Macaca mulatta: one gene and its partners. The protein of the gene in region 1 purifies or fractionates together with the protein of each later gene. This does not show direct contact. Links are inferred from orthologs where the notes say so. Each region holds a gene or a part of one and is shown on either strand. Other genes may lie near its edges.

Region 1 (3,500 bases):
CTTCATAAATTTTAGATATATTATTTTTAAAAACTAAATTTAACATTGTTAAGACATGTGATGAATGCATATTATTAAATGAAATTCATCATTTTAATATAAATTACAATTAATTAGAAATAATGAAAATTCCAATATTATACAACACGTAAACTAGGTTTGGAAACTAAAATTGCCATTTTAAACATTACAAAAGGATAACCAAAAATAAAATACATACTCATTTATTTACATTTACATTTATTTACTGTATTTTGAGAATGCTTTCTTTCATTGTGTTTGTTTTTACTTTCCTTTTTCAAAGTAGCCACCATCACGAGTCAAGATATCATAAAACCTAAGTTAAGCTAATTACTACGAAACAGAATTCTAATTATATTTAAAATTAAGCTTTAATTATTACTTGTAAATATTGTGGTAGGGGACTTTGTTAGATAATTGTTATATCTGTAAAACAGTAATCATTACTTAAATGAAATTACTTCCGAGTTACTAAAAAGGTACCTTAAAATACAGAATTAAACTTAAGAGATATTATACTGTAATTCATAAAGCCAATAACAATCAAGGATTTTTCAACCTCTTTTATCTAACCCATTTAGTTAAAAAAAAGTAAATAAATTGAAATATAGGCATATAGTAAGAATCAGAAGCTATCCATTCTGAATGGTCTAGTATATCAGTTTCTATTATTGTTTTTGTGGATAGTTTTTGCCTCTGAAAAGCTAAATCACACCAAATAAGATGATGATTTAGAGAAGACCTCAATTTTTATACATGATAATGGTATGATGTCAGAAAACATTCAACTTCAAATTTATGACACATAAAAACTCCATGTTTTAATAGCCATGTTTAGTTTGTTTGAGCTGGTGAGCAGATATAAATGTAATCTGCACTACTATCAAACTCCAGGTCTGATAGATAACAAGCTAATATTTATTTCTAAGTGCTCTAAAAATTATTTGTAAAACCTGCATAAAAAGGATTGCATAAATATATTGTGATTTTATTTTAACAATTATTCTACACTACAATGGAAGTACATGCTCAAACAAGACACCTCAGCAGTATTTTAAAGCAGTAACCACCTAGCCAATTTCTGTATGTTCTGTAGTTTTTCTAATCCACTCTCCCTGTGGTTGAGCAAAATCGAATTGCCTCTCACATTTGCAGACAGCTCTGTGAAGGTGATAATAGAGCTGCTCCCTGCTGTCATGAGGCAGGAAATAGGAAAATGGCATATGGGGCTAGAAAGAAAGAAATAAAAAAAAAAAAAAAAAAAAAAAAGAAAGAATGAACAAAAAAAGAGAAAGAACTAAACAAGAACAAAAGGGGTTTCAACAAAGAACTATAACACAATATGCTTTCCAAGTTAATCTGTTTTCAGAATTATTTAGCATATTTAATCATTCATTTGCATCCTCACTCCAAAAACGTGAATGGTTGATACCAAGTCTTTGGGCAAGTTTTCATTGTCTAAAATATTTGGAAAACACACCTCCAGAATATGTTCTGCACAATGTCTGCAAAACAATGCCCTTTAAATAGATTTTTAAAATGTTCTGCCAATTCCAAATTCATCATTTGAAAATAAAGGTAAAGCAATGTTTATTTAAATATTAATAAAATGTTTATAGCAGGCTTTGAGTATGGTTTAACTTTGCTAATTTTATGAAATTCAAAAAATTTAAAGATAAATATTCATGACAATTACACAAGTGATTAAAGAAGAAATCTCTAAATAAATTGCTAATAATACCAAGACACAGTTATCAACTTGTAAAGTTTTTTTGTTTGTTTGTTTTTTAAGTAAACAGATAGCAGCTTTCTGTATAATTAAGAATCCTGCTTTGAACAAAATGGATTTTTATTTAATGTATCTGTAAACAGAATGTGGCAGTAGATGGCAATAAAGATAGAATCTACTCTACCTTTCCTTTTACACTCTGAATGGGATCCACAACCACTGCCACAGCTCTCTCCGACAAGGCTTCAAAGCTCTGCTGAGTGTTGATATCCACACCAGAAAGCCAACAACCAAAGCCAGGGTGACTGTGATACCAACCAACAACCATCTCCGGCCTGAAACAAAGAGGGCATTCAGATGCTCAGAACAGAACAAGTAATACATTTATGATATGAAAAGAAACAACACACTAACGGGGTATAAATTAAGAAGAGATGAAAAACACACAGGTGTGAAAAAGCACCATTAGAAACCCTGAAATTGTACACCATATTATCCAGAAAACATGGAAATGAATATGTGTGACAAAGGAGTACTATCATTAAGAGATGCACATTAGCAGTGGTAGATAAGGCTTTCAGTTTTTCACCTTGTTACCACAGTTTCTCAGAGCCAGTTTTTACCCTTTCAGCATTCAAGTAAATATCTACTCTTTAACTCCTTAGCTCTGGGAGTTGGATTTTCCAGGCACAGAGTACATTTTTAACAATGGACACCAGGATCCACTGTTGTGAAAGGATTAAATATCAATTAAACCAGCAGTAGAACTAGGAACTCAGTCAAAAACCAATTTGCACTGTTCTGCTCAGCTGCTGAGCCTTTTGCTAACATAAATTTTGAAGTTTTTTCCACAGTAGAAGAATTTGAGCAAGAGAATGGCAACTTTGAGAGATTTGGTCTGAGGAAAAAAACTTCAGAATATTTGGATTATACTTTCTCTGTCTTTAAAACTATGCCTACAAACATAATTAAATATTCATAATCTCATTCAGTTGCAGCTCTCAAATACATGGAACATACAAGCTCTTTCAATTATAAGTGACTAGACAGTAACTCCATATGCTAAACAGAGGGAAGCTACAGCCCAAGCTTACTATGTGACAGTCAAGAATTTTAACATGAGGCAGTTCTCTGATGGGCAAATTTCTTTGGTTCTAAAGGGAAGACATACTAGACAGGCGGTGCATGGCACCGATATTTACAGATACTTTTATGTCAACTATGTGACCTCTTTTTCTAGAAATGATACTGATAAACATCTATAACTTTGAGGTATGTCTCTATAAATATTTCCCATTATTTCTTTAGCTGATCACTTAAAATGCTTACCTTCCTGTCTGCTTCAACATATCCAACATTTTAGCTTGGAACACTGGATCAACTGCCTCCACACTTACACCCTGATTTAGAAAGAAATAAAAATTATTAATTTTTGTAAATTTGGAAAAAAAAAAAGCTTCCCTATGTATATTATTTGGGGTTGCCAAAATCATTTTATAGGTTTTGATACCTACATTTGATACCTACTCAAGTCATTCAATTATAAACCTCACACCAATCAAGCTTCTAAAATTGCCAACTAACAAACTGCTGTTGGCTAATGAGTTAAGCCAACTTTCAGGATTCTTAAGAATATAATGGCCATTGCTATGTATATGTTTACCAGAAATACGAAAACAATTGAATCAACCAGAGCTATTGGTTAGACCTATCTAGGCAAGCATGCTTCCTAATGCCATCTTATCATAAC
Region 2 (4,220 bases), on another chromosome or scaffold:
ACTGCACTCCAGCCTGGGAAACAGCAAGACTCCACCTCAAAAAAAAAAAAAAAAAAAAAAAAAGAATTATTTAGTCCAATCTCCTCATTTCACGCACAAGAATACTGAAACACATGATTAAGTAACTTTCCCACAGTCTCAGGGCTAGTGGGAGAAACTAGATTTCTTTTCATTACCACTTTCTATTCTACGAAGTACTAAATATGATCACCACTCAGCTTTCGTCACACGTTTTGGCATTATTCAGATGTTCACTTATGCAACACAGAAGGCTTAAAAAACAAGCACAACTATAAACAGGTCACCTTAACATGACTTAGGAAAAAAACACACCCAAGATCACAACATGTCCCACTGCATTCAAAATGTCTCATAGTGCAATACCAAGAATCAGTTTCCAGCATTTAACCATTACACCAAAACAAAATTTTACCCGATAGCATTTCTTGTTGGTTATTTAGATATAAATGGTTATAGGTTCATGGGTATTAAGCCATCAGCAATCCAGCCCTAAACACCAAACATTAGCTCCACTGTTATTTTTAGCCCTTTCTAAGTAAAAACTTTTACCTAATAAGCCAAAATAACAAAACCCGGAGTGCTAATTTACCAAACTTGATAACAATAAATACTTCAGAAAACAATGTTTAAGTATGCCTTGGTAGATTCTAGGTTCATAAATCCAAACCAGATATGCCTTCGCACCATGGCATATGTATATACTGCATATCTAAAAAAAGCTGTTTGCATCCCCAAAAATGGTAGGTATTCTCCCAGCAAGTCTAATCCAAGTGATTAAAATGGGGAATCACTGTAACAAAGTGACTATTTTTACTGTGCCTGAGTAACACAAAAACCTAGGAGTCTCACTTCAAAAAGCATTTGGATTGTAACTATTTATGAAGTATTCTTTTTTTGACTAAACGTGGTTCTCCCTGTTGCATTCCTGCTTCTGCCGCCCCTCACCCCCATTCTCCTAAGGATCGTTAACACCAAAAACTTCTTTATACTGTAGTCAGGAGGAGAGTTGTTAACCTTGACATTTTATGATCACTCTCTGAAGAGGGCAAATTACATGTTTCAGTTTTGCTTCTTTTTAATTTTAGTTCCCACCCACCCCTCAAGTGGAAATGAGAAATTTGTCAGAGGCTCCTTAATAATTGGCAGACGAGAATCATCCAGTGAAGAAATATGGACAAAACTATTACAAAACCCTGAGTCATCACTCAGTTCAATCAGTAGATTTGGGTAAACACTGAATGAGTGACTTAGGTCTTGTGTGTTCACCCATCCATACCCACATGCGTGAACATACCATGTTACTAGATTTTATGTACAGTTAACCAAACAAGATACAGCAAAATTATTTCTTAAAAAGCTCTTCCGACACAGTAAAGATGCCCACCCAGCAGGTAAATGTAACCTTTCCTCCCCCACTGTATTTTTATTCTTTGTTTTTTGTTTTTTTCCTAATTTCAGTGACACTATAGTTTGAAGCTAGTTTACAAACAGAACTCCTGAAACTGATTCAGGTAATCTATGTTAATCTGAGTAACTCAAAATATTAACACAAGCCTGATACGAGTATCGCCGTGGACATCCTGACAGTACTCTTCCCTACTTTCCTCAGTATCTTAAAGGCCTCTCCAAAAGAAATGTCACAACAGGAACAACACACAATCCTTAGGATCTTAAACAACATTGTCCACATTAACGTCTAAGACGTTAAGCTCAAGAATGAAGTCTGACTTTAAACCAACCTTTTCGATCAACTCCGCCAGGTCTGAGCGGGCCCCAAAAAAGCAGAACCCTTAAGTTTCCCAATGGTCTCCTTTCCATTCAGAAAGTTACTAGACGCCAACGGAGATGTGAAGAGGCGGGGATCGTAGGGGAAGGAAGAACCGGAGGAAGCAGGGAGAGAAGTCACAGAACTCCCCCAAAGGCAAATCCTCTCTGCCCCGCCTCTCCTATGCGCAAAGATCCACGAAGGACCCTTGGGAAAGGCTCACCTCTCTCCCTCGGGGCCGGGGCCCTTGGGCTCCCCAGGTCCCCCCAGGTGGGAAGACAACAACCCGAACACTTCGGGAGAAGCAGATGGAGAGGACGTGCAGGGCTGGTGAGGACCCGGGAATCCCGGTAAGAAAGTGTCAGGGAGGACAGCTTGAGTGCTTCACAGGCTCTGTCACGACCCTGGGACCACCGCTCGGGGACAGCTCCAGCGAGGACAGAGCTAAGGGTCCAGTCCTCTGGACAAAGAGCACCCATCCCCGACACCTCTCACTAAGCCTCTCCCCCCGGCCCGGCCTGCAGGCCCGGGCACACTTACGTGGAGAGTTTCCTGGTCCAGAAGAGGCCCCCGGGCCACAGCTCTTGGAGCTGCACCGCCCGGCCCAGGTTGCATTTGATCTGGGCCAGCTGCAAGTCGGACTCGGCGTCTAGCCGCTCGGCGTAGGGCAGCAGCTTGTTGTAGACGATCTCTTTCTGCGGGACGAAGCCCCGCGGGCCCGGCTCGGAACGCCCGCCCGGCTCCGGGGGCTCTCCGACTCTCGCCCGTTCGGCCAGCTCCATGAGCCCAGGGACACCCCCCCTACCCCCTCCCACCCTAACCCTCCCCGACCCCCACCCCTCTCCGGGCTCCGCCTCCTCCGCGTCTTCGTCGCCCTGCGGCCGCCGGCGGCCCGTCGCCCTCTGACCGATCGCTAGGCCCCCTTCCCTGGCCGGCGTGCTGCTGGGCCCCGCGCGGTTCCCGGTTCGTTGGCGGCGGCAGCGGCCGCTCTGCCCGCCCCGCACCGGCTCGGCTGGTGACGCTGCAGCCGCCGGGCTCAGAGGTTCCGGACCGGTCTCAAGTCACTTCCGGGGCGGGGCGGGGCGGAGCGACGGCGTCGGGGGAGGCGGTGGTGGCGGCAGCTGGAGCCCAGCGGGCCGCGCCTTCCTTGCCGTGGGCCCGGCTCGGAGCCCCCACCCCGGGCCTCACCGGCCCAGCGCGAGGCTGCCTCACCGGAAACACGAGGCCGAATTCCAAGCTATTGTCCTGCTTCGCCGGGGGTCGCGCACTCCAGGCGGCGCCCACCGGAGCCCCAGTCGCGGCGACAGGTTCGCCAGGTCGGCCTGGTCCCCCTAGCCGAGCAGCCCCGGCTTTTAGGTTACAGGGATTTATGGAAAAGCCTACGTACCCACTTGCTCCTTATAGATTTATTTACTCCTTCCCGCTTGTTCCTTATAGATTTAATTATTCTGTCCCCTTTTAGTCCCCATCTTTCTGGTATTCTGGCCGCCATCATTCCAAGGAAGAAAATCGTTAACTCACTGAATAAATGCTAATTGAACGACTGTTTCGTGTGTAAGGCACTCCGTTTAGGCTATTGAGATGGAAAGTTTACCCTGGTTTCCGCCCTCCCAAGGACTTAGTCTAGCAGAGATAAAGACGTGAATTACAAGATAATGCTCTTAATTGCTAGATAAGTACAGGAAGCCTTAGAAACTCTACAGAGAAGTTCAAACTAGGGGGTTGAGAGGGTGTCAGTTTCCTAGAAGTGATACTTAAATTAAGCTGTAAGGGTTGAGTGCAAAGTTGATTAGAAAAAGGAGGGAGGAGAACACGTATTTAGCTGAGAGAACAGCTCTTGAGGCTGCAAGCATGTATTCTAAAAATTCAAATTTCAAAATAGCGTAAGAGAGGGGACGGAGAAATGAGACTGAGAAGGAAATCCTAAGGAATTCAGAACTTTATCCTAGAGACAAACTTCCAAAAGATTTTAAGCATAGCAGTGGGATGATATAATTTACATTTTTAAAGAATCACTCTGGCGGCCGGGCGCGGTGGCTCACGCCTGTAATTCCAGCACTTTTGGCAGGCCGAGGCGGGCGGATCACCAGGTCAGGAGTTCGAGACCAGCCTGGCCAACATGGTGAAACCCCGTCTCTACTAAAAATACAAAAAAATTAGCCGGGCATGGTGGCGGACGCCTGTAATCCCAGCTTCTCGGGAGGCTGAGGTAGGAGAATCGCTTGAAACCGGAAGGCAGTGGTTGCAGCGAGCCGAGATCGCGCCAGGGCACTCCACCCTGGGCAAAAAGAGCGCAATTCCGTCTCAAAAAAAAAAAAAAATTCACTCCGGCTCTCTGGCTTCGTCTGGAAAATTGGTTGCAACTGACAAGATTGGGAACTGGAGGACCCCTTAAGGTGTGACATAATTATGGCCTGGATGTCAGTTGAAATTG
Region 3 (4,165 bases), on another chromosome or scaffold:
TGAGAACTATTCGGGTATAATAAATTACTATAAAGTGATTAGCCACCTTTACAGCCACTCTCTTTTTTTTTTTTTTTTTTTTTTTGAGACGGAGTCTCACTCTGTCGCCCAGGCTGGAGTGCAGTGGCCGCATCTCAGCTCCGCCTCCCGGGTCTACGCCATTCTCCTGCCTCAGCCTCCCGAGTAGCTGGGACTACAGGCGCCTGCCACCTCACCCGGCTAGTTTTTTGTATTTTTTTTAGTAGAGACGGGGTTTCACCATGTTAGCCAGGCTGGTCTCGATCTCCTGACCTTGTGATCCGCCCGTCTCGGCCTCCCAAAGTGCTGGGATTACAGGCTTGAGCCACCGCGCCCGGCCTACAGCCACTCTCTAAAACATATGCCATCATAATTCTCCCGAGTCTCAGAGAGGTTAAGTTGCTTGCCCAAAGTCACACAGCAGGGAAGCAGAGCAAATGCCAAGGAACCATTTTTGTGACAGTTTAGCAGGTACCCGGCACTTTGCCAGGTGATTCCCATATGCATTCCTGCATTTAGCCCGTACAGAAACCCCACAAGCTGTTCTCATGCCCATCTGAAAGATAGAGAAAATGAGGCTCACAGAAGTGAAACATCAGCCTAAGCTTTGAGAAAGTTCTCAAAGGATTCAGAGCCAGGTGGGGGGTCTGACAACATCCTGTCTGGCTAGGGAGGGGGCGGACCGGGAGAGGGTGGGGCTGGGTGGGCCCCTTCACACCTGTGGCCCCCAGAGCAAGGTGTTGGTTGCACTTTTCCGATATCCAGCTCCAGCCCATTTGGCTGAGAAACAGGCTGCAGGGATTGGGAAGGTGTCTGCTTTGCTCATCTGCTTAGCTGATGAAGGAACGTTTCTGCCAAACATTTCCAGAGAGCAGGCCCCTGAACTTGAGCTGGAAGTTAGGAGACTCGGGGCCTCAGTGTCCACAACTTTGCGAATGAGAACAGCAAGTCCCAATTCACAAAGCTGCCACAGAAAGCAACGGTGGGGGCGCCTGGAGGGGCACTTACCAGTGTGGGTCCGGACATGGCCTTGTAGCAGCCAGGGCCTGGAGAAGGCCTTCCCGCAGGTTCCGCAGACGCAGGGCAGCGTGTGGCTTCGGATGTGCATCTTGAGGGCACCCAGGCTGAGGTATTCCTTGTTGCAGTATTTGCAGTTGAAGGCCTTTCGAGACTGGAGATCCTTGGCCTCAGAGAGCTGGGCCAGCTGCTTGGGCACTTGGCCCAAGCCTGGGAAGGCAGCATAGGCCTCAGCCTCCAAGGAAGAGGCTGAAGTAGAGGAGAAGGACGAAGTAGCCGGTGAGGGTGGGCTGGGAGGCTGGGAGCCTTTCCCACTGTCCTCGTCCGACAGGGAGGTCAGCTCTGCCGCCCTGGGACTCTCCTGGGGCCGAAGGGAGGCCCAGGCAATTGGCTGGGCTTGGGGCGCCAGGACAGAGTCCCAGATGAGCATTGGCAGCGAGGCGGTGGGATTGAGGATCTCTGGAGGTGGGATGGCTGCCAGCAGGTGGGCCTGGTCGTAGGGCTGCTGGAAGGTAAACTCTGAGAGAGAAAAAGCAGAGTCAGGCGTTAATTAAATCATTCACTCAATCAACAAACATGAACCCACCGCTGGCCAGGGGCTGGGTAGGGCTGATTCTCAACACATAATTAGATAAAAAAAATGATCCACAGGACAGACCAGGTTCCTGCCCTCCTGGCCCAGGTCACCCAATCTGAGTCTCTCACAGGTAGGACCCCCAGTTGAAGGGGGTCATTTCCAGATCTCCCTCTCCTAAGTCCCAAGTCCCCAGCCTGAGGCCAGAACCCCATCACCCCAGCCCTGGAGCCACCACCCTGCCCCAATCCCCCTCCTCACACACATCTCGTCTCCCCACCCCTCCCCTCAACCCTCTGGACTCCGGACTCTCCCCAGCAGCGTCCAGAGGGCCTTCCTGACACAGGCCTCCTCTCCCACTCTCGCGGAGCTCCTCCGCCTCTCGCCGGCTACACAGGCCACCCAAGCACAAAACCCCTGCTCTCTACACAGCACTCCCCCAACCACCCAGACCGATCCCCAGGACTGGGGACCCACCTGCCCGGTCTCCCGAGCCCGAGCCCGAGCCCGCAATGCTCCACAAAACACCCTGTGACTCGATCCTGGCTCAGACAGGCCGCCTCCCTCAGGTGGCCCCCACGCAGCCTTCGCCTGTCTCCCCCAAACCTCCTGGAGCCCACCACCCCTCCAACACACCTGGATTAGAGTCCTGCAGCTCGCTGTAGTTAGGCTTCCGATTGGGGTCGGAGGGCTTTCTGACGAGGAAAGAGCGCGGCATGGTGGCCGAGGCACTGGGGTCGCCGAGTCGCGCAGGAGCAGCGCAAACGTACCACTCACAAGGCCGGACCGCGGCGCAATGAGAGCAGCCGCGCCGCCAACTCCCTTAAATACTCCAAGGGGGTGGGAGGGGAGGGGCCTCATCTGCCACGCCCCTTTGTCACCTCCGCGCCAATCGGAGGCCCGTCTCCGCCGAAGGCCACTCCCCGAGCAGGTGCGCCGGGGGCTGGCCGGGCTCGCGCCGCGTGGCGCTGGGAGCCCGGGCGGGGGCTCCTCCGAGGCGGAGTTCGCAGGCGCAGCGCGGGTCGTCCGTGGTGCTCGGACTGTCCGGGGCGGGACGTCGAGCGAAGCGAGGCCCCTGCGAGGTGGGACCCCGCCAGAACGCCGCGCGCCCACCTGCTCAGCGCCCCGTGGTCGGAGCGCTTCTGACGCCCCCTGGCGCTGCGCGCGGGCCGGGACACCTGACCTTCCGACGCCCGCCCCCGCCTCGGGCTTAGGAGGGGGCGGAAATTTCCTCCGCCCGGCTGGCGCCTGGAGAGCGTGGCATTGACGAGGGAAATGCACATTGCTGGGGAGGAAGCGAGGAAACGGACACCGCACGTGGCTCCTGGCGGCGTGAAATGCTACGGCCGTTTTGCAAAGCAGCCTGGCCCAGCTAGCGAAGAGCGCCCGTTCCTTCCCTTAGCCAGTGTTTGCGGAGGGCCCAGCTGTACCTGGGGCAGGGCACAGCCCCGGACAGGACATTCAAGGCCTCTCCCGAAGGGTAGCTCCCGGTCCAGTGGGGGAGACAGACGAAGTAAACAGACAATTACAATGCAAAGGGAAGTGTGCTTTGGCGGGGGAGAGACGGGACGCAGCGACCGTTAAGAGGCGGGTCACCTGACAGGGGGTCGGGGTGACTTCCCAGAGGAAGTGAAGAATTATCAAGGGAAAAGGCCCGAGGGAAGAAGTGGCAACTGCTTCAGAGTAACTCCTAGAGAGCAGCTCTCAGGGATGGCGTGGGGTGGGCAGGCCCGGAAGGGTCAGATGTGCTGTGCCCCAGGGCCTCGTAGGAGGTTGGACTTTGCCTCAAAGGCACTGGGGAGCCACCGAAGGATTTTCAGCTGACGAGGGACCTGGTTAGAGTTTCGTAGAAAAAGATCCTTGTAGGCCGGCGGGAGAAAGAAGGGATGGGCCGGGCGTGTCTCCTCACCCCTGTGAAGATCCTCGATCCTGTGTCTAAAGGCTCTAACGTTGCTCTGTAGGGGCCCTGACTGAATGCATGTGGGGTGGGCCCAGGTGAGGGGCAGCTGCACCCCCACCCCAGCTTCCCTGGGAGGCATACCAGGCCCGGGAGTAGCGCTGAAATAAACCTCACAGGTCTCACCGTTCTTGTTTCCACCTGTGAAGGAAGACTAGAAAAACCTATAAGCACCCCACACCACCACCAGCAACATGAAGGGCAGAACTACTGTCTGTTTTGGTCACTTGGTGCCGGATGTAACAGCCGTGAACAAAATCGTCTTCCCCTGTTTCTAGCTGGAGAGTGGGGAGTAGGGTGGAGGACATAGGCAGGAAGCAGTTATTAGGCGGAATACTCTCCCTCCCGTGTCAATTTAGCTCCAATCAGGATCCTCTGCTGGAAGCCAGAGTGAGGCCAGAGCACCCCCTCCTCTGCTCAAACCCTCCCATGCGCCTGTCTCAGAGTAAAAGCCAAAGTCCTTTCCTCGGCCAACTCGGCCCCGCTGCTCTGACCCCGGCTGACCTTGGCTTGAGCCTCTCTCCCTCCCCCATGAACAAGGATCCCTCCCCCACCCTTCCTTCTGTTCCTCCAACATCCCAGACCTTTCCCACCGTGGC

The links.
Region 2: the proteins of PSMD14 (region 1) and PSME4 purify together in Homo sapiens (affinity purification with mass spectrometry, with the first as the bait; 3 studies listed by BioGRID). This does not show direct contact. The link is inferred for Macaca mulatta from reciprocal best matches to the Homo sapiens genes PSMD14 and PSME4.
Region 3: the proteins of PSMD14 (region 1) and SNAI1 purify together in Homo sapiens (affinity purification with western blotting; 3 studies listed by BioGRID, with this or other methods). This does not show direct contact. The link is inferred for Macaca mulatta from reciprocal best matches to the Homo sapiens genes PSMD14 and SNAI1.

What each region holds. Positions count from the first base shown.
Region 1 is NC_133417.1:66,182,950-66,186,449, reverse strand, and holds part of PSMD14 (26S proteasome non-ATPase regulatory subunit 14), read right to left. Parts: intron 3,151-3,500; coding exon 3,080-3,150; intron 2,086-3,079; coding exon 1,935-2,085; intron 1-1,934.
Region 2 is NC_133418.1:70,690,816-70,695,035, reverse strand, and holds the start of PSME4 (proteasome activator complex subunit 4), read right to left. Parts: upstream 2,801-4,220; 5' UTR 2,569-2,800; coding exon 2,327-2,568; intron 1-2,326. UniProt on the Homo sapiens protein: Associated component of the proteasome that specifically recognizes acetylated histones and promotes ATP- and ubiquitin-independent degradation of core histones during spermatogenesis and DNA damage response.
Region 3 is NC_133415.1:102,822,936-102,827,100, reverse strand, and holds the start of SNAI1 (zinc finger protein SNAI1), read right to left. Parts: upstream 2,801-4,165; 5' UTR 2,328-2,800; coding exon 2,246-2,327; intron 1,555-2,245; coding exon 1,027-1,554; intron 1-1,026. UniProt on the Homo sapiens protein: Involved in induction of the epithelial to mesenchymal transition (EMT), formation and maintenance of embryonic mesoderm, growth arrest, survival and cell migration.